Elephas maximus indicus: one gene and its partner. The protein of the gene in region 1 purifies or fractionates together with the protein of each later gene. This does not show direct contact. Links are inferred from orthologs where the notes say so. Each region holds a gene or a part of one and is shown in the gene's direction. Other genes may lie near its edges.

The links.
Region 2: the proteins of BCL7C (region 1) and ARID1B purify together in Homo sapiens (affinity purification with mass spectrometry; 4 studies listed by BioGRID and IntAct, counting the BioPlex papers as one, with this or other methods). This does not show direct contact. The link is inferred for Elephas maximus indicus from reciprocal best matches to the Homo sapiens genes BCL7C and ARID1B.

What each region holds. Positions count from the first base shown.
Region 1 is NC_064830.1:90,162,371-90,172,497, reverse strand, and holds BCL7C (B-cell CLL/lymphoma 7 protein family member C), read left to right. Parts: upstream 1-5,719; 5' UTR 5,720-5,952; coding exon 5,953-6,044; intron 6,045-6,555; coding exon 6,556-6,634; intron 6,635-6,966; coding exon 6,967-7,075; intron 7,076-7,167; coding exon 7,168-7,329; intron 7,330-8,745; coding exon 8,746-8,831; intron 8,832-9,294; coding exon 9,295-9,420; 3' UTR 9,421-9,503; downstream 9,504-10,127. Other genes in the region: CTF1 (cardiotrophin-1), read right to left, coding at 1,446-1,564, 2,766-2,790. UniProt on the Homo sapiens protein: May play an anti-apoptotic role.
Region 2 is NC_064819.1:228,890,971-228,901,292, forward strand, and holds the start of ARID1B (AT-rich interactive domain-containing protein 1B), read left to right. Parts: upstream 1-5,720; 5' UTR 5,721-5,746; coding exon 5,747-7,417; intron 7,418-10,322. UniProt on the Homo sapiens protein: Involved in transcriptional activation and repression of select genes by chromatin remodeling (alteration of DNA-nucleosome topology).

The sequences.
Region 1 (10,127 bases):
GCGCTTGGAGCGGCCCCAGCTGTGCGGTGGGCCGGGGCGCGAGCTCCTCCACGTTTAACTGAGTCCCCCACCCACTCCGGGGCCTTAGTTTCCTTATCTCGCAAATGATAAATCTCTCACCGGGCTGCTGTGTTTGAGAGAATATAAAGCAACAGAAAACAACGTGAGCTGTACATCAGTGCCTGTTTTTGTCTCTGAAGTGGATAATAATAGTATCAACTTCATATGGTACTTCCAACATGCTGGTAAGTATACGAGCATGTAAAGTGCTTAAGACAGGGCCTGGCCCATAGGAAGGGCTCAATAAATGTTAGTCTTTCAGTAATGTTATCTTACAGGCCAGGGTTCAAGTCCCGTCTCCACCACTTACTAATTGTGCCGTTTAGGGCAAAAACCACTTCCTTCTCTGAACCTCAGTCTTCTTATCTGTAAAAAGGGAAGCAGCTCCCTGCCCTGTCTTCTTACCAAGGGTCTCCTGAGAATCATATGAGATATTGCAAGGACCAAGTCTATTTTGCTCTTCTTCCCTACCCTCCTGTTGTGGATTGAATTGTGTTCGCCATTTATCCTTTCCTAACCTCTTCCCTCCAGTTCAGGCATTGTGCTTGTTGCTTTAAACATATTAATTCAAATTTTCCCAATAATGAGTAGAATGATGATGATAATTATTTTGTAAATGAGGAAACCGGGCTGAAGAGGTACAGTGACTTGCCGTAGATCACTCATCTAGTAAGTGGCAGAGCTGGAATACGAACCAAAGTTGGTAGGACTGCAAAGCCAGTTCCGTCTCTGTTATCCCAAATCATAATTATTACTTGGTTATTTTAATATTAGCATTACTGCCCAATGTCATGGTTAGCAAGCTGATAGGCCTGGGTCTGTCTGATTCCACAACTATACCTTCCCTTCACTACATCAGGGAAATTTTGGGTAAACATCTTCTTTCCTTGGGCAGGGCCTTCTGCCCAACCAAAATGTCAGTAGATCTCCCTCTGTAAAAATCCCCTCTTGAGGTGGAATTTTTGCCCCAGATTGAAAACCGTTATTGGCCTCTCTGAATACCCAGCTGAAAGAGCTCACAGCTCGTCTTGCTCAACTGCCTCCTTTTACAGCTAGGGAGACCAAGGCCCACGGAGGCTAGGTGATGAGATCTCATAGACCCTAGTCTTCCTGACTCTCAGACCAGAGTTCTCATCACTCTCTCAGGCAGCCTCTGACTTAAAGCTCTGAGGAGGGAGCCTCCAAGGTGATGAGGACAGAGGGCATTTGGGTCACAGATAGGACCCTCCTCCTATTTGCTGTGTGGCCAGGGGCAAGTTACTGTCCTTCTCAAGGGGAAATGAGGTAAAGAAAATGGATGGTGTAGGACTCCTGTGATCTGTGCTTCCCCATGATTCTCTAGGCCCCAGGCCCCTACAACATCCTCCATCCCCACCCCCACTCACATATTCCTGGAACAGCTGCTCAGCATATTTGGTGAGAAGACGGGCAAGGTTGTGAGTCTGACGGATCTTGGCTTCCAGGTGGGGAAGGAGTGAGGTTGAGGAGTCAGCCTGGGGGTCTTCTGGTGAGAAAGGGGGGAAGAATAAGGGTAGCCCAAACCCCTCCTCCGAGACTGCTCCGAGGCTGGCTCCTGCTTCCTAAACCCAGCAGCTCTGCTCTGAATTTTCCCATTTTTAAGCTAGGCACAGTCTGTCCCATACCAACTGAGACCCCAGATCTTTTCCAAGCAGTAGCTCTATGTGAAATGTGTTCCCTGTGTCCAAGCTGCTGTTGAAATCATATTAAGGCCAAATTCAAACATTGCCTCCTCAGTGTGGCCTCCAGATTGACCTGTTTCCCAAATTAACTTCTTCCTTCAACCTAAAGCCATTTGCTTATACTTGCCAGGTAACTCTTTTAATGGCAGATTATAATTATTTGTGTGTATCTGCCTCAGCCTGGGATCCCTGAGAGGATAGGGCTGACATCTATTTCTGTACTTGAGTGACTATTAGTGGAATTCAACATCATTGAAGCACAGCATTGCAAATCGAAAGAGGCCTGTAAGGAAAAAACTCCCTCATTTTACAGATCCGGAGACCGAAGTCCCATTCGCTTTCTGATGTCTCTTTTATGCAAAACACTGGGCTGGGCCCTGGGCGGCATCAATGAATCAGCGACCCGCCCTGAGGGACACAAGCCATAGGGTGGCGCCCCAGGAGAAGGAGGACTACACTTCCCGAGACGCACAGCGCGCTCCCAAGTGCATGCTGGGGGATGTAGTCCGGACACGGCACCTCCCGCCCCGCCCCCCGCCTGAGTTTCCCACTGCTAGTACCGGTCTTCAGCTGCCTAGACTTTCGTTTCCTCTTGTCATGCACTCACTCATGTGGCCCAAAGACTTCCACAACTCTACTTCTCCCTCTGACCCCAAGTTCTGATTATTTCCGAGACTCGGAGAGGACCCAGGGGTCCAGCCCCCTGTCCTGACTCCAGTCCTCCCCCAGGTGGACTCGAACCAGTTGTCTGGCTGCAGAGCCCAAGTCCCTGAAAGCGCAGCTCCAGGCCTCTTCTGAACCCTGGCGCCTGCTCCCTTCCCACAACTCTGGCGCCTGCTCCCTTCCCACAACTCACCCGCTCGTTACCTGACACCAGGGTAAGCTCCCGTGCCCAGGCCGCTCCCCTCCCAGTCCCGGAGGTGGCGGAGACTCTGACCCTAGCTCCCAGCCCTTCTGACCCCTGCTCCCCTCAGTGACCCGGCATCTGACCCTTCAGCCCCTTACCCAGACTTCCCTCCCTCCGGCTCATGCTGGCCCTTAGCCGATCTCGGTTACCTCCACGCCCCCCTTCGAGGCGGGAGAAGGGGGACAGGGGTAGGGGCGTGACTCGGGCGCAACCAATCATGGTCCAGACCCCAAACACCCGCCCCACCCCCCCTCTCCCAGGCAAGATTCCTTGGCCCTGAGCTCAGCTCCCAGCCTACGCAGCCTAACCCGAGAGGGACCTAAGGGGTGGGGTGGGGGGGACAGCTTATTGGCACTATGGGCTTGGGACCTGGGACCGAGGGTCGGGGGCATGGGAAGCAGCCCTGCGTCCCACCAGGAGGAGGCTCAGGCACCGACCTGGGGCAGGGCCTGGCACTAGGAGATAAAGAGGGAGGCTGAGGGGCTGGCAGGAGAGGATGTGCAAGCCCTTCCTCTTGGAGACAAAGGGAGGCTAGGTGAGAGGGTTGTCCGGTAGGAGTCTCTAGGGCTTGGGGGCACACCTACCCAGACACACACCTGTATCTTATATGCGTTCCACCCAGTCAGCACAGTCTCATTGTCACATTGATATTCCCCGTCTCCTTTCTTCAAGCACATGCTGGTTGTCACACCTACCAGGAGGGAGACACATCACCTCATCTCACCTCACCCCACTGACACACACACATGCATCTATTGAAAGTTAATGCATACACTCATTCTTACATAGGAGCAAGCTTCAGAGACAGGTGCAGGAGGTCACACTCACACGTAACCCCACTAACCTGGTGCAGATAGACACTAGGGGGTCTGCATACACATCCCTAGAGATGGTTCTAGAGTGCCTACTCTGCTCTGGATCCTGGGACACAGATACGATCCATATGGGGTCTCAGACCCCCTAAGGAACTCACAGTCTGATGAGAGAGACCATACACAATGGAGACTGTGAGCAAAAGGACTGTGTGTCTGTGAGGATGTTGACATGGGCAGACAAACTGCCAGAATAAAGGAATGCAGGGATTAACTGGCAGACAGCAGAGCAGGTGCAACTGAGGCTGCACTCTTTATTCACAGTTAATATTTATTGAGGGTTTATTATGTGCAGGCTCTAAGAGCTATACATGTATTCATGTATTAACTTGCTTAATGCTTATAAACTCATTCACCCTGTTGCCATCGAGTCGATTCCGACTCACAGCCACTCTATAGGACAGAGTAGAACTGCCCCATAGGGTTTCCAAGGAGTGCCCGGTGGATTCGAACTGCTGACCCTTTGGTTAGCAGCCGTAACACTTAACCACTATGCCACTAGGGTTTCCTTAATGCTTATAACAATATAAAAAGGTAGGTAATATTATCACCCCCATTCTATAGACAAGGAATTAGAAGTATAGACAGATAAGTGACTCGTCCAAGGCCACATAGGTAAGTGTGGCACAGTTGGGATTTCTCCCCAGCAGTTTAGCTCCAGAGATGCTCTCATCATCACCTTGCTATACCTTAACCCCTCCGGACGGTCACACAACAGCACAGACACAACAGACATACCCTTGAAACACACTCACACATAGCAACACACATTTATATCTGCTGACAAGCACCTGTAAACCCATCGCTGTCAAGTTGATTCCGACTCATAGTGATCCTATAGGACAGAGTAGGGCTGCCCCATAAGGTTTCTAAAGATCAGCTGGCGGATTCGAACTGCCAACCTTTTTGTTTGTCGCCAAGCTCACCAAGGGTCTGCTGACAAGCACGGTGTCCAATAAAACCAACCAAGACACAGTCATTTTCTTTAAGAAAACTTTTTATTGAAGTAAAATACACATACAGAAAAGTGCACACATTATAAGTACACAGCTTGATGACTTCCCATATGATAAACATGCCCAAGGAACCAGCACCACATTAAGAAACAGAACAGGATCTGCTTGGAGAAACCCCCCTCTTAGCCATTCCCAGTCAGTATCCCCCAAGGGTGACCACTATCCTGCCTTCTCACACCATAATTTTGTCGTTTTCAAACTTCATATAAATGGAAGCTTGTGTCTTCTTTCACTCAGATGTTCATGAGACTTATCCACGTTGTTGGGTGTAAAAACCAAAGCCACTGCCGTCGAGTCGATTCCAACTCATAGCAACCCTATCGGACAGAGTAGAACTGCCCGACAGAGTTTCCACGGTGCGCCTGGCAGATTCAAACTGCCGGTCTCTTGGTTAGCAGCCGTAGCACTTAACCACTACGCCACCAGGGTTTGTTAGGTGTAGCAGGAATCAATCATTCTCATTGCTGTGCCCACGGGTGTGAATAGGCTACAATTCATTTTCCAGTCTCCTGTTGATGGGCATTTGAGTTGTTTCCAATTTGGGGCTATTATGAACAGTGCTATGAACTTTCTAGTACACATCTCTTGGTGTTCATACCTCCGTTGGGCGTTGACGACTTAGGATTGGAACTGCTGGATCATATGGCCAGCTTCACTAGAAAACTGCCTGTTTTCCAAAGTGGCTCTACCAATTTACACCCCCCCAACTCCCCGCCTAAATATGAGTTCCACTTGCTCTGCTTCCTCGCCTACCTTGGTATGGTCTGTCATTTTCATTTTAGTCATTCCGGTGGGTGGAGACCCACTCATACTGGCAGAACCTGGCACATAGTTGGCACTCAGTAGACTGTTGAATGAATGGATGAGCTGGGCAACATAGAATCAGACAACTTGGCGAGGGTGGACACACACATACATAAACACACCCTCACCCAGAATTTCAGGGACGCCCAAGCGCGGGGGACGCACATCCGGACACGGACCCCCGCGCGCATCCCCGGGGCCCACGTGGCCTGAACGCACCGCCTCTGGCCGGTCGCGCGCGTCCAGTCGCCCAGCTGCCCCTAACTCTCCCTCTCGGTGGCGGGCAGGGGGCGCTGCGCGTCCGGACGCCCCGAGGGGGCGGGCCCGGGTCGGGGCGGGGCCGGCCGGGCTTCCAAACCTCGGCTCCCGCCGCCCGCGCCGCCGGGCCGCTCCGGGGACGGGCCGGGGCGGGGCGCGGCGGCAGGAAGCGGGGCGGGGATTCGCGGAGGCGTTGGGGAGCGAGGGAGGGCGCGGCCAACTCCCGGAGGGTCGGCAGGCCTGGAGAGCGGCGCCCCTGCTTGGCGCCGAGCCTGAGCCCGCCGGACGGGAGGCGGCCCCGCCACGGGCCCTGCCTCGGTCCCAGCCCCGCCAGCATGGCGGGCCGGACTGTGCGGGCCGAGACCCGGAGCCGGGCCAAGGATGACATCAAGAAGGTGATGGCGACCATCGAGAAGGTCCGGAGATGGTGAGCTCAGCGACAGGGACGCGGATGGGACATAGCAGGGCTACCGCCCCCAAATGCATTTACCCTCCCCATGCCAGCTGTAGCCCCAGGTGTTAGGCGTGTGCCCAGCTGTGCCCCGGATTGACAGGGCTCATTCTCCCTTGCCCTGGTGATCTCCAGCCGTGCCCTCCCATAGTAGGGCTCCAATTTTTGTGCCCTGCCTCCTAAAGCTGTGACTCCCTCCATCCTAAGTGTGCCCCAGGATCTTCATTGCCATGGTCCTCACCCAGGCCCAGAGCCATGCCCCCATTTTTGCAGCGCCACAGTCCCAAGCCATACCCTCCCTAGACGCACTCTCATCTATGCCCTGAGGTCTGCAGGGCTCTCTTTGGCCCTCTCACTACGCCCTATTAACAAAACTGTCCCTCCCCTCGTGCCCCTCCCCCACCTCTGCAGGTACCCCCAGATGTGTCCAGCTGGGGGGCTTTTCCCCCAAGCCTCTCTGACCCAGCTACCCCCCATCCTCCCACAGGGAGAAGCGCTGGGTGACTGTGGGCGACACTTCCCTTCGTATCTTCAAGTGGGTGCCAGTGGTGGACCCCCAGGAGGAGGTGAGCAAGCCCCCCCTCCACCAGACCCTGCATCTGTGCAACCTCAGCCAAGCTCCTGCCCACCCTGGCCTCCACATCTAGTCCCCACTCAGACCTCAAATGCAGCAGTTTAGGCAGATGTCAACAATTATTAGCCACCCCAGCCCCCTTCTTTTTCCCTGCTCCAGAGCCCAGAATTCAGAACCTAACTCAGCATGCACAACCTCTGTCACCTCAGGCAAGGCCTTTTGCTTCTCTCTGCCTCAGTTTCCTTATCTGTACGGGGTGGGAGGATTGCAAGAGCTAACCAGAAAGGCAGTTGGGGCCCTGACCCTTACCCCTCTAACCCCTAGGACCGACGACGGGCGGCTGGTGGTGCAGAAAGATCCCGTGGCCGGGAGCGGCGGGGCAGGGTCTCCAGTCCCCGAGGGGGTGGTCCTCTCATCCTGCTCGATCTCAATGGTATGTGGGGATCCTGGGATTTAGGGGGTGAGGGGCATGGAAGAGAGAACTTGGGGCCTCAGGCCCAACCCTTCTGGTTCTTGTTCCCACAGATGAGAACAGCAACCAGAGTTTTCATTCGGAAGGGTCTCTGCAAAAGGGCACCGAGCCCAGCCCTGGGGGCACCCCCCAGCCCAGCCGTCCTGAATCGCCTGCCGGACCCCAAGATGGGGTCCCAGAAGAGGCTCAGCCCCCACAGCTGGGCCAGGAGAGAGGTAGGACCAGGTGCCTCCTGGGAGCCCGCTCCTCTGATGAATCCTGTTCGCTACAAAGCTGAACCCACCAGCTTCCCTGCATGTCTGTTCCTCCTCTTTTGTTGCCTCATCAAGGAGGCTCTTCCTTGGCTTCTGTGGAAAGTTACCACCCTATCTCTAGCTACTGTGTGTCTCATTCCTCTGGCTTCTTAGGGTCTGTAGATCTCTTATCACGATCTGAAATTTCATGTAAATTTAACTTTTTATTAGTATAGTATGTTTCTCCCCCAGTCCCACCTGATAGCAGCTTCATGAAAGTTGGGCTCATATCGATCTTGTTCACTAATTGCCTCAGAACACCATGTGACACATAGTAGGTACTCAAGGAACATTCGTTGAGTGATAATCATAAAAGCAATTAACACGGTATTGATAATAGGTAATATATATTGAGTGCTTACTGTGCGCCAGGTATGCTTCTAAGCACTTTACTCACTTTATCTTTTTTAATCTTCATCACAACCCTATGGGAAGGTGTGTCGTATTACGATCCCCATTTATAGATGACGAAACCGATGCTCAGAGAAGTTACGTAAGTTGTCGAAGTCACACAGCAAGCTCCCTCTTCCATATAGCCAGTCGATGCCTGCCTTTCCCTCCCCAGGCTCTGCCTGGCTCTGGCCATCCCATCTTTCATGCACTGCTGGCTCTAGCCTCCTCAGCAGTCACCCCCATCCAGTTGCTTCCACACAACTGCCAGAGTAACTAAACCACAAGCTTGTCAGCTTCCCTGCTTCAAAGCCTTCAGTAGCTCCCCATGGCTTTTGACTCCTCCCCAGCTTGGCATTCAGGGCCCTTCGTGAACTGGCCCCTGGTAACCTCATTGTTCTCCCCCAGCAACCTCATGACATGGGCCTACTTGCTGTGACGAGTATGTGCCATGCACTCTTATGCCTTTGCTAATACAAAAGCACTAATTGATACCCGCTGAGTACTTGGTTGTGCTAAGGGCTCTACCTGTATTGTCTCACTGAATCCTCACAACAATCTCATGTGGTAACTACTGTTGTTATCCCCATTTTACAGACAGGGAAACTGAGACTTAGAGAAATTAAGTAGTTTGACCAAGGTCAGAATATGAACCCAGGCACTCCAACCCCAGAAGTTGTGCTCATTAAGCATGAATTCCTTCTGCGAAAAGTGTGCTCCACCTGTTTGCCGGATGAAATCCTACTCACCCTTCAACATCCCACATAAATGTTCCTTCCTCTGTGCTGCCTTCTGGATCACAGTAACAGTGCGGGCTCCTCCCTCATTCTCCCATACCCTCTGGCTTACGTGGTTGGTGCTTGTTGGTATTTATTTCCCTGACTGGTTTGTGTTACTGCCACAGAGTTGCTGGCTGCTCAGGGAATGTCTGTTAACTTGACCTTCCAGATCCTGGGGGCATAACTACGGGCGGCACCGATGAACCCCCGATGCTGACCAAGGAAGAGCCTGTTCCAGAATTGCTGGAAGCTGAGGTGAGAGAGGCCAGAACACTGTTCTTTTAGGTCTTCGAGGGGTTGGAAGCTTTGGGGTTAGCCAAAGGCTCGGAGGCTGTACTCCTGGGTCCAGAAGGGGAATGTAGACATAGAACACAGGTAAAAGCTTAGAGGCTGGATTCTTGGGACCAAAAAGGAGAGGATATTTTAGCGACGGCCAATGTCTTAAGCTTAATAAAGTCCCCCATAAAGTTCTGATTTTTCCCACAAGGATTATGTTGATGCATTTTTCCGAAATATCAAATATCACATTCTTTCTCCAGAATTTGTCGTTGTTGTTTTTTCTTGTGCCTTACTTAAGCTGCATCTTGGGTACCTGGCTCTGGGCTAGACTCCTGGGTCCGGGAGGGGAGTGGAGTGGAGGCTTTGGAGAAGGCAGAGGCTAGGAGGCTGGACTCCTGGGTTTGGGTGGAGCTCACGCCTGTCCGCCCTTCCTCTCCAGGCCCCTGAAGCTTACCCCGTCTTTGAGCCAGTGCCACCTGTCCCCGAGGCAGCCCAGGGTGACACAGAGGACTCGGAGGGCGCCCCCCCACTCAAGCGCATCTGCCCCAATGCCCCTGACCCCTGAGAAGCCGGCCTGCCTATCCTGCCACCCCAGGGGCCTCTTTGACTTTTTACAAATAAAGACCCTTTTATAATTTTGTGTCATGTTGTTTCCCCGTCAGGGCTGGGGAGGGTCTTTGGTGACAGTTTTGTCACATGCTCCATTTCTCAGATGGGGTCACTGAGACTCTTTGAGAGGACCTTCCTGTAGTCACACCATGAGTCAGATGTGGAGTAGGGGCTTGAGCCAGGACCTTCCTCCCTAACACTTTCCCCACTTTGTCCTGTCCTCCTTACTGCTGACCCTTTTTAACCTTCACCTCTCCTCCTGTGAGAATCCCAGGAACCTCCTTCTCAGCCCTCCCCTGGGCCCAGCAATTATCAAGCTAGGCCCAGGATTCCCATTTCACACACGAGAACACCACGGAGGCCTAGAGGGCAGAACCAGGGACTTCTGGGCCTGGGGTCACCCAACCCATTTATTGGCGTCATCTTGTCCAGATGCTCAGCAAAGAGACTGATGCAAAAGCCCAGTCCCTGCCCTTGGAAAGCCTAAGCATTGTGCCTCCCTGTCTATGCTTAGCTGTCCCTCTACCTGGAACCCCTGCCCCACACTTCTGGTTAATCCTATTAGTTCTCAGTTCAATCACCACTTCCTCTAGGAAGACTTCCCTGATGCCAGGCTCTGTCAGTTTTTCCTTTTTAGAACTCCCGCAATTCCTGTGCTTCCCT
Region 2 (10,322 bases), on another chromosome or scaffold:
TCTTAGCAGAGCAATTGATGACTCCTGGTGATGTACACTGAGAGGTGCCCACCGACTCTCCTAATAAGTTAGGGGTGAGGTACTTGAGTATAATGGGGTGAAATAAAAATCAGGAATGCATTGTTACATGTGTTATAGCTTTTTGGGATTTACTGTGCTTGAAGAGTAGTCTTATTCTAAAAGTCTACATGTACTATGAGACAATGAATCATATGTGTGAGAGACTCCCAAGTCCTTCAGGTAAGGCAGTGAAATATTCCAGAAAACTGAGGTGATCAGCACTCCAAATGACTTCCCTTTGGATACGTGATAATTTGTTGTTGTTGTTGTTGTCAGCTGTCCCATGCACAACAGAACGAAATGTTGTCTTGTCCTGCTCTGTCTTCATGATGATTGGCTTTGGATCCCACATCCTGGCTAGTATACGATGTAATATCAAATATGTTTTGTTGTTCTCGTTAGCAGCCATCAAGTCATTTCCAACTCATGGTAAACTTATATACAACATAAAGAGACATTGCCTGGTCTTGGGTCATCCTCACAATCACCAACATGTTCAAGTCCATTGTTACAGCCACTACATCAATCCACCTTACTGAGGGTCTCCCTCACCCGCCTTGGCCTTCTATTTCACCAAACACTGTGTTTTCCTCTGCAATTGATCTCTCTTGATGTGTCCAAGGTCATTGAGTTGGACATTCAAATATGTTTACTATCCAAGTATTTATTTTTTAGAAGCTAGAGTGGAACTCTCTCTAAATGCCTTTATCCAAGCTTTAGATTATCACAGATAGGAGCTACTTACATGATGTATGACATGATCCAATATAGAACAGAATATTGAAAGGCACGAGTAGGTGCTCGATAAGTGACTTTTGATGATGGCAACACGAATGAGGACAATACTGGGAGTAAAATGAAAGAAATGTGATTGGACATACGATTCTAAAAGTTACAGAACATTTCTAAACATTCTAGGTTGTAGTGAAAAATATTTATTACCTGTCGTTCAAAATGTGGACAGTCCAGTAAAGATAAAATGTACAATGTTTTAAAATGTAATAAGGTATTTCTGCATTTATGTCAATGGTGTTACTATGAACCCACCAGTGGCTCCATGGGAGAAAAGACCTAGCGATCACCTCCCATAAAGATTACAGCTTAGGGAAGAAACCCTATGAGACAGTTCTACTCTGTCCTATAGGGTCCCTGTGAGTCGGAATTGACTTGAGGGCACATAACGTTAAATTTGATTTAAGGTTTTGGAAGTCTACATCCAACACTTGGTAATACTCTGAATATACTTGGAATTGGCCCAATTGCTGGTGCTGACTAGCCTCATCAGGATCCAGTGGTGGGTTCCTGGCATCAAGTCTGGGATGTGCCAGATGCAGTCAGATTAGGCTGATGGCAGTCAACAGCAAGGCTCAGTTACAGGGATTGCTGACCTATGGGGAAGTCTGAGCTTGCTCTAAATTGGCCAAATCCTCCATGAGGTTCAAGGGCAGCCCTTAGTATATTTTAGTGCAATTGTTAATTGTTTGTCTCCTTTATTAGACTCTGACGCCCTTCAAGACAGGAACCAGGTAATGTTTATCTTTTTATTTTCAGGGCATGACAAAGCAGATTCTAAAGAAATTTGTTGAATGAGTAAGTGCTAGTTTATCCCCATCCAAGTTTACCGTCCTCATTATCATATTCTTAGTAAATATAATGATGCAACTGGTTTTCCTGGTTCCCAAATTTGTTAAAATTATTTTTTGCCTAGACTTTTCTCAAATGCTACAATTGCTTTGCATACTGAATTTATGGGCCCCTGTTAATTTGCATCGTTGTTCCAAATCAAAGGCTATATCCCATATCTTGCAATTACTCAGTGTTATTCACTGCTAATGTCTAAATCGGGGAAGTGAAAGGGACAATTGTTTAGTACTTTTTTAAGTCCGTGACCAAGATCAGTAGGGAAATCCCATCAGCTCCATTCATTGCATGTCTCATAAATCTAAAAGGGAAGCAAGTATCCAAAGCCTTATTCTTTAATAGTTCTTATTTGTAAATCTTGACAGGGCTTTATTCTAAATTGCTTCCAAATTATGCAAAGAATACTGAGAAATATGATGGGTAGTGAGTCGTGATAGTTTCAGTCACCGAAGAAATAAGTCGAACAGTAAAAGGGGGCTAATCTGAAAGCAAACAGCGTAGGATGGGCAACGAAGAGGTAAAAAGAATGGAATTGTGGAATTCTTAAACTACCATCTGGCTCAATCCTCTTTAAGTGGCCACGCTGAAGTGTCTTTTATTCATTGCCCCAAAACTTATTCACAAGGAGCAGTTATTTGAATATTAATATTTCCATATAATAAAAAACCCTTTTTGTAACCAAGAAGGAATGTTTAGCAAAATAATGGGTAATCCTCAGGCTAAACACGAAGGCGTGGGGAGCAATCTGTGGTTGGGAGGTTGCTGGAGGCGAGGCCTGGCCACTCGGCAGCTTTTGGGCCTGTACCACCGCGGGTCTTTGTGGTTAGAGTAACTTATTAAAGTTGTCATTATGGTTTGAAATTTAGGCAAGAGGTGTAAAAATAAGAAATTCACTGGGAAAAATGAACTCAGTGATTGCTAGTACCTTATTTCTTCCCAAAGAAACCCAAACAAACCAAAACCAAAGCCATTGCCTTCGAGTCAGTTCCGACTCCTAACGACAATATAGGACTGAGTAGAACTGCCCCATAGGGTTTCCAAGGCTGTAAATCTTTACAGAAGCGGAACGCCACATCTTTCTCCCAAGGGACAGCTGGTGGGTTCCAGCTGCCGACCTTTCGGTTAATAGCTGAGCACTTAACCACTGCACCACCAGGGCTCCTTCCAAAAGAAACAATAATGTAGAGTTGTCATATAGGATAATTGAGGCAAGTGACACAATACGAATGCTCATCACTAGCTGAAAGTGTGCTTTTGTGAGATCTGAAAGTATTTCATTACTTGATAGCAGACCCCTGACAAGCGCTGTTTTGTTTCTTAAGCCCTGTTTTTATTTTTATTAATGAAACTGTAAGAGGCTTTTATTTTGTCTTCCTGGAAAGGTGTTTGAAAAGTGTCAGTTGAGTAAAATATAAGGCCACTACTTATCTTCAGCAAAGATGCTAAAAAAGAGGTATTGGAACATTTTTCTGTGGTTTCAAAGACAAAACCCAGTCCTGCTGGCTTTGTGTTGTGCTTCTCTTCCAGGCTGCAGTGCCTTCTGTCTGCTTCAGGGCGTGGCATCTGCCACTGGGGAGGAAAAGCTGGCATGCGCTGCCTTTTATAGCAGACTGAGTTCATTGTGCTGAGGGCCTCTGTTTCAGAGCCTCTTGGTTCCAGTCTTCTAGTTGACTTGCTGGAGCAAATGGAATGAAAAGACACTTACCGACTTACATACCTAAATTTTTTTTCATTATTTTTGTACATAAAAAAATTTTTTCATGAAAAGGGTCAAAGCTGAACTTGTTGACTCATTTTCCCTTTTAAGATCAGTTGTGAAAACAAGCCACAAAATATGAATTGACTTTGATATATTTTATCAATTGGAAGAAATGCAATTTTATGATTATGTGTATATATTCAGTTTGATGATGAATGTCTAAAAGCATAAATATGTAACTGACTTTATAGGAATATACACACAAACACAAAACAGACATGCAGTTATATTTGCATATGAAAAACTTTCAAAATTCAACTTATGTGTATAATTAGTATGTATTTGAATGTATAAAAGGAGAAAATCCAGGAGAAAATGTCAAAAAGGCACACTAACAAAGATGTAGTAGTCTCCTGGCAAAACTGATGAATGGTTTGGCATGAATTCATCTTACAGTTCTGTTATCCTCTCTTACACATGATGATGTGACCCTGGTTTTCCAGCTGTTTGCGGAGAATTGCAATTTGTCGTTTCCATGCTGGATAATGACCCTTGGGTGTGCACCTGATCTCCCCCTCCCACCCACAATTAGCCCCCAGTTTTTTCCAGTCTATCCCTTTTTTTTAGGCATGTAACATATTTACTTACACTTGGTGAGGCAAACAAAAATAACCAGGGCAGTTGAAACAAACTAACCTACTTCTGACAAAAGTTGGAGAATGAAATGATTTCGCAAAACTACATTCTACCAAAATCATACAGATTATTTCAGCCAGCTTGACCTCTTGAAAGCTCTGGTTTCAAATGCTTTCTCTTGATGAAAACAGAGTGCACACCAGTAAAAGGTAACCACTGCTTGGGTTAAGAGGTCCTGCTGTCAAAGATATCTAAACTAGTACAGTGATAAATCGGCAAAACATTTAAAACATTGTGAAGTGATAATAGATATTTTTTAAAGAACAAAATATGAAAGGTTTCTACTTTAGGATTTGATGGGACCATTTTATATTACTGATCTTATATTTATATTTATTAAAGACAATGTCTAGTATTTATTTTCGTTTTGTTTCCCATTACTCAACAATGAGCTCCTATCAGGAAGGTTGTTTACATTAACCTGTGAAACATGACGAAAGGTGCCACACGGATTTATGAAGACATGAGCTAAACATTAGCTGTTACTACGACGGCACTAGGAGTTAAGCTTTCGTCGGAAAGTTGTTTGGAGCATAACATACCACTCGACGTCTTTGAGGCTTTTTCCCTTTAAACAGAGGACATACACTTGTGGAGCAATTTTCATTGATAAGCCTAGAGGCAAATGCGAGGTGCCTTGAAAACTAGTTATATCAACAGTATCTTTGGGGCAGGTACAGCACAAGGAAAGCATTTATTGAGTACCTGCTGTGTACAGGGCACAGCGCTCCTGGAATTCACCGGAAACGTTTCCTCATTTTGCCGTTTGAAAAAGTTGTGGGAACTACGTGGAGGGACCAAAATCAAATCAGAGGGGCTAAGATTCTGAAAAATGACACAACTACTGGAAGACACAGTGCTTTTGCACAGATTACCCAAATATTTTTCTTTTTTCCGTCGGTTCTTCATAACCTTTGAGTTCGACAGACAACTTTGTTCCCGAGCCCTTTTCTCTCTTTTGTCTGCTCGTCAGACTCGTTTTCCACCTTTGTACCGTGCCTTCTCGATGGGAAAACAAACCGGCGAACGCCCGGTTGGCAAGGAGACCGAGGCCCGGGGAGCGTGCAGCCGCCCTCGGCCCGGCCGGCCAGCCCGGTGCCCGGCGACGTGCGCCCGGCGGGCGGCTGGTGGCGGCGGCGGCGCTGGCTGAGTCCAGTCCGCGTTTTGCGAGTGCGCGGAGTAATCAGAAGTGGATAATAGTTGCTCGGGCTCGCGCGGCTCCCTCGCGTGCCATGCTGGGCCCGATAGGCTCCGGCAGCCGTGTGTGTACCCATATCCGGGTTAGGGAGGAAAGGAGAAAAGTTTCATTTAAACCTGAACTCAAAACTTTCACCATGAGAGCCCACAGCAGGAACAGGCCCAGACCGTGAGGCTCGACCCGCTGCTCGTAAGGCGCCCGGCCGGGGGGGCTCGCCGGAGTCGGCGCGGGCGTGGGATGCGCGCAGGAGGGGCCGCGGCCTGAAGTCGGGTCCCCCCGCCCCGCCGCCAGCCTCGCGCGCCTCGCCGGCGATCATGGCCGCGCGGGCGGCGGCGGCGGCTCGGGCGCGGGCGGGCAGCAGCGAGCGGCGGGCGCCCCCCGGGCCGCGGCCGGCGGCGCTCGGGGCCCGGGACCCGGAGGCGGGCGCGCGCGGCGCGGCGGCGCCCGGGCCCATGCTGGGGGGCGGCGACGGCGGCGGCCTGAATAATGTGCACCACCACCCCCTGCACCCCCATAATGAACTGAACATGGCCCACAGCGCGAGCGCCGCCGCCGCCGCCGGCAGTAACGCCAAGAGCGGCGGCTCCGAGGCGGCTCTCAAGGAGAGTGCAAGCGCCGCCGCGCTGTCCTCCTCCTCCTCGGCGGCGGCGGCGGCGGCGGCGTCCTCCTCTTCCTCCGCCTCGGTCCCGGGCTCGGCCATGGAGACGGGGCTGCTCCCCAACCACAAACTGAAAGCCGTTGGCGAGGCCCCCGCTGCACCGCCCCACCAGCAGCACCACCACCATCACCATGCCCACCACCACCACCACCACCATGCCCACCACCTCCACCACCACCACGCACTCCAGCAGCAGCTAAACCAGTTCCAGCAGCAGCAGCAGCAGCAGCAGCAACATCCCATTTCCAACAACAACAGCCTCGGCGGCGGCGGCCACCACGGCGCGGGCGGCGGCGGCGCGGCTCAGCCGGGTCCCGACATGGAGCAGCCGCAACATGGAGGCGGCGGCGGCGGCAAGGACAGTGTCGTGGGCAGCCAGGCCGAAGCCCCGGGCCAGCCTCTGCTGAGCAAGCCGGGCGACGAGGACGACGCACCGCCCAAGATGGGGGAGCCGGCGGGCGGCCGCTACGAGCACCCGGGCCTGGGCGCCCTGGGCGCGCAGCCGCCGCCGCCGAGCGCCGTGTCCGGGGGCGCCGTGCCCGGGGGCGCCGTGTCCGGCGGCGCCGTGCCCGGGGGCGCCGGCGGCGGCGGCCCGGCGGCCGTCCCGGAGTTTAATAATTACTACGGCAGCGCTGCCCCTGCCAGCGGCGGCCCCGGCGGCCGCGCTGGGCCTTGCTTTGATCAACATGGCGGACAACAAAGCCCCGGGATGGGCATGATGCGCTCTGCCTCAGCCGCCGCCGGGGCCCCCAGCAGCATGGAGCCCCTGCAGAACTCGCACGAAGGGTACCCTAACAGCCAGTACAACCATTATCCGGGCTACAGCCGGCCCAGCGCGGGAGGCGGCGGCGGCGGCGGCGGAGGAGGAGGAGGCAGCGGAGGAGGAGGAGGAGGAGGAGGAGGAGCGGGAGCGGGAGCTGTGGCGGCGGCGGCCGCGGCGGCGGCGGCAGCAGCAGCAGGAGGCGGCGGCAGCGGCGGCGGCTATGGGGGCTCGGCCGCGGGGTACGGGGCGCTGAGCTCCCCCCGGCAGCAGGGCGGCGGCATGATGATGGGCCCCGGGGGCGGCGGGGCCGCGAGCCTCAGCAAGGCGGCCGCCGGCGCGGCGGCGGGGGGCTTCCAGCGCTTCGCCGGGCAGAACCAGCACCCGTCGGGGGCCACCCCGACCCTTAACCAGCTGCTCACCTCGCCCAGCCCCATGATGAGGAGCTACGGCGGCAGCTACCCCGACTACAGCAGCCCCAGCGCGCCGCCGCCGCCGCCGCCGCCGTCGCAGCCCCAGTCCCAGGCGGCGGCGGCGGCGGGGGCGGCGGCGGCGGGAGGCCAGCAGGCGGCCGCGGGCATGGGCTTGGGCAAGGACCTGGGCGCCCAGTACGCCGCCGCCAGCCCGGCCTGGGCGGCCGCGCAACAAAGGAGCCACCCGGCGATGAGCCCCGGCCACCCCGGACAGCCCATGGGCCGACCCCAGGTAACGCGCCGGCCGGGCCTGCTTCCGCCCGGCGGCCTCGCGCGCTCGCGGCCCTAGTTTCTTTCTTTCGGGTTTACTTTTTTTCCGTCTCCTCTCGGGGGGAGGTGGGGGCGAGATTCCGGAGCCATTTCGCTCGCGGCCGCCTCGCCCGGGAGGCCGGGGCGCGCACAATGTCCGCCTCGCGGTCCGGCGCTCGGCGGGGACGCGCGGGCGGGCCGGCGGCACCATGGAGGCGGCGCACCCCGCCCCAGCCCCCAGGCCTGCGCTCGGCCGCGGGGAGGCAGTTGGGGCGGCGGGGCCGGCTCGGGCGCTTTGGTGGGGCAGCCTTCCCCTCGCCAGTGGGTCCGAGGGGAACGGGGACCGGATTCCCTGGTTAGCGCTAGCGCTGCGCTTTAACTAGAAGGACGGAGAACTTTCTCCACCTCCAACCACGTCGCGTGGAACGGCAGGGGAGGTGAGCTAGCTTCCTGACCAGCCGAGTGTGCGGCTCCTGGTTGTGGAGAACCGCCTGTAACTAGAGCACTCGCGGATGTTCGGTGCGGCCTGCCGGCCTGAACGTTGAGGAGCGAAAATAATACCGAAACGTGCAACTGCGTGGAGGCAAAATACTCTAAAATATATCGATTCCTTCCTAAGGACAGCCAGTGAGATCCATCTTTCGGCTCAGGGGCAGCCCGAAAGGAGTCACCTTCACAGAGGCTGTGTTCAAGGACCACATTCCGAATAAATCGAACTTGTTTTGGTCGAGGATCCTGCAAACCTTTTATTAGGCAAATCCAGTAACATGCCAGACCCGTGGCAGTGAGCTATTTGGGTCGTATTTATTTGGATTTTCTGTGTTCCGCTGTCACCCCAGCCCCACGACGTTATTGGGAAGTGTCCTGCACTCTGGCTGTTTCTTGCTGGTAGGCTGAGCCTAAAGACTGACTCGATCTCCTTTGCGAGGTTTGGAATTTGAATTGTGGAGGTAAACTGGCTGTAAGAGTCTCCAGACAGCTGCCTCGGAGTTGACATCTAATCCGCCATCTGATTGGCTCCCCTCTCACCATTGGGCATTTAGCGCTGCTGATGTAAATAGACGTGCTCGGCAGTACAGTCACAAAAATCCTTGCCACAAATAATAACCCAGCTCTATTGCAAGCAGATGTAAGGTTGAATATGATTTAAAGCTTCATTTATTATGAGTCGGAGTTATTAATAAGAAGATTAAGTATATAAAAACATTATGCTGGTGTCTAGCGTTGAGCATTTGCAAAATTAAGTTCTTTGATGACAACCTTTCAGTATGAACATTGCATAGATCACGGACTTTAATTGTAGGGTGAGGATATGTTAATTGAAACATAAGGAAACCAGGAATTTTTAACCAATTTTTGGATTCAGAAAGCTTTTATGGGATTCGTAAAGCTTTTCTAAAAGCCTGCCCTTTACAGATTTGACCATGGGGGGGGGAACAATTGAGCCGTATTAGAACACATATTTAATATAAAATTAAAAATTTCAAGCTTCTGATAACGCAGCAGTATCATTTGGTGATGTTTATTTAGTTTTATAACAAGGTTAAAGTTATATTTCTATTGATTTGTGTTTTAACGTTTCTGACCATTTGTAGATGAAGAATATTAGTTAGAATTGACATTATATTTTAAAAAAATGAAATGAGAAAGCTAAGTAAATTTTGCAGTCGAAAGGAAAAGCGGATATTCCTTTGAAATACTAAAAATCATTTTTTGTTTGCCTCTGATTCGAAATGCCTCAAGAATCTGGTTTTTTTTCCTCTTGATTATTTTGTTAGATTAGGTAATGTGAGCCTCATTTGAATTGCTTATACAATGAATTAGGAAAAGCTCGATTAATAGCAAGTTGTACTGGGTATGTTTTTTCCAAATAATTTTTTTATTATTTATTATTTATAGCTATCTTAATGCTGTGGAAGTGTTAAGATGCTAATCTGTTAGAAGTAAATTTCAGTGGTTGTGTATATGTTTTTACCCAACCCATTTATTTTAGGAAGGTGTATTTTAATTATAATCATGTATTACAGGATAGTGAACATATCTTAAAGGAGAGACTTGTCAGAGAGAATCAAAGACTGAATTTAACAAATGCTGTGTGAATCCTAAGCTGAATATTTTTGTTCACTGTTTTCAAATCTTTAGTTATTGGAGTTTTACTTTTAACAATAATGTATTTTCCTATTCTTGGTAGAAAACTTGCAATTTCAATTTTCATTGTTGATTTGCACAAGTGAAAACGTTATAGAGAGGGCTCATGTAAGGAAACTCCTGTAATAGATTTAAAAAAGATTTGTTTTCTCAACTGCTTTTAAAGGTGCAGTTTAAAAACTCATATCTTTGTAAACCAGAGACGAATGAAGTTAGAGGCAGATGTCAGTCTGTGTTACTTTGGAGTATTATTTTTTAGTGGTAGAAATCATTTCAGGTATTTTATTTTCTTGGAATGAGAGTAGATCCATTATATCTGCAGTGTGACCCTTGAGAATATTTTTTTTGTTGTTGTTTTTTGGGGTGGATAAAGTGATGGACATATGACCTAGATTCACAGATTTCTTCTGTGTATCGTATAACATGTGGGATGTGTCTTTTTCATACTTTTTTTTTTGAAGGCTAGTATTATTTAATATTCTTTATGATACCTATGCTAAGAAACAGTCACTTGTCCAAAATATTAAATCACTGCATAACTGTAGGTCATAACAGACCATTAAATCACGCTGTTAAATGATGAAATTTTCTTGTGGCTTTTAATAGATGTTTTGGTTTCATTTTTGATTTTAGGAAATGGCTTATACTGGGTAGGAAATGTTTTTGTAATTGGGAACAAAACATACATTGTAGGAAGAGGGTCTTTTTTAAAAGTGAAATAAGGGAAATAAGCCAAACAA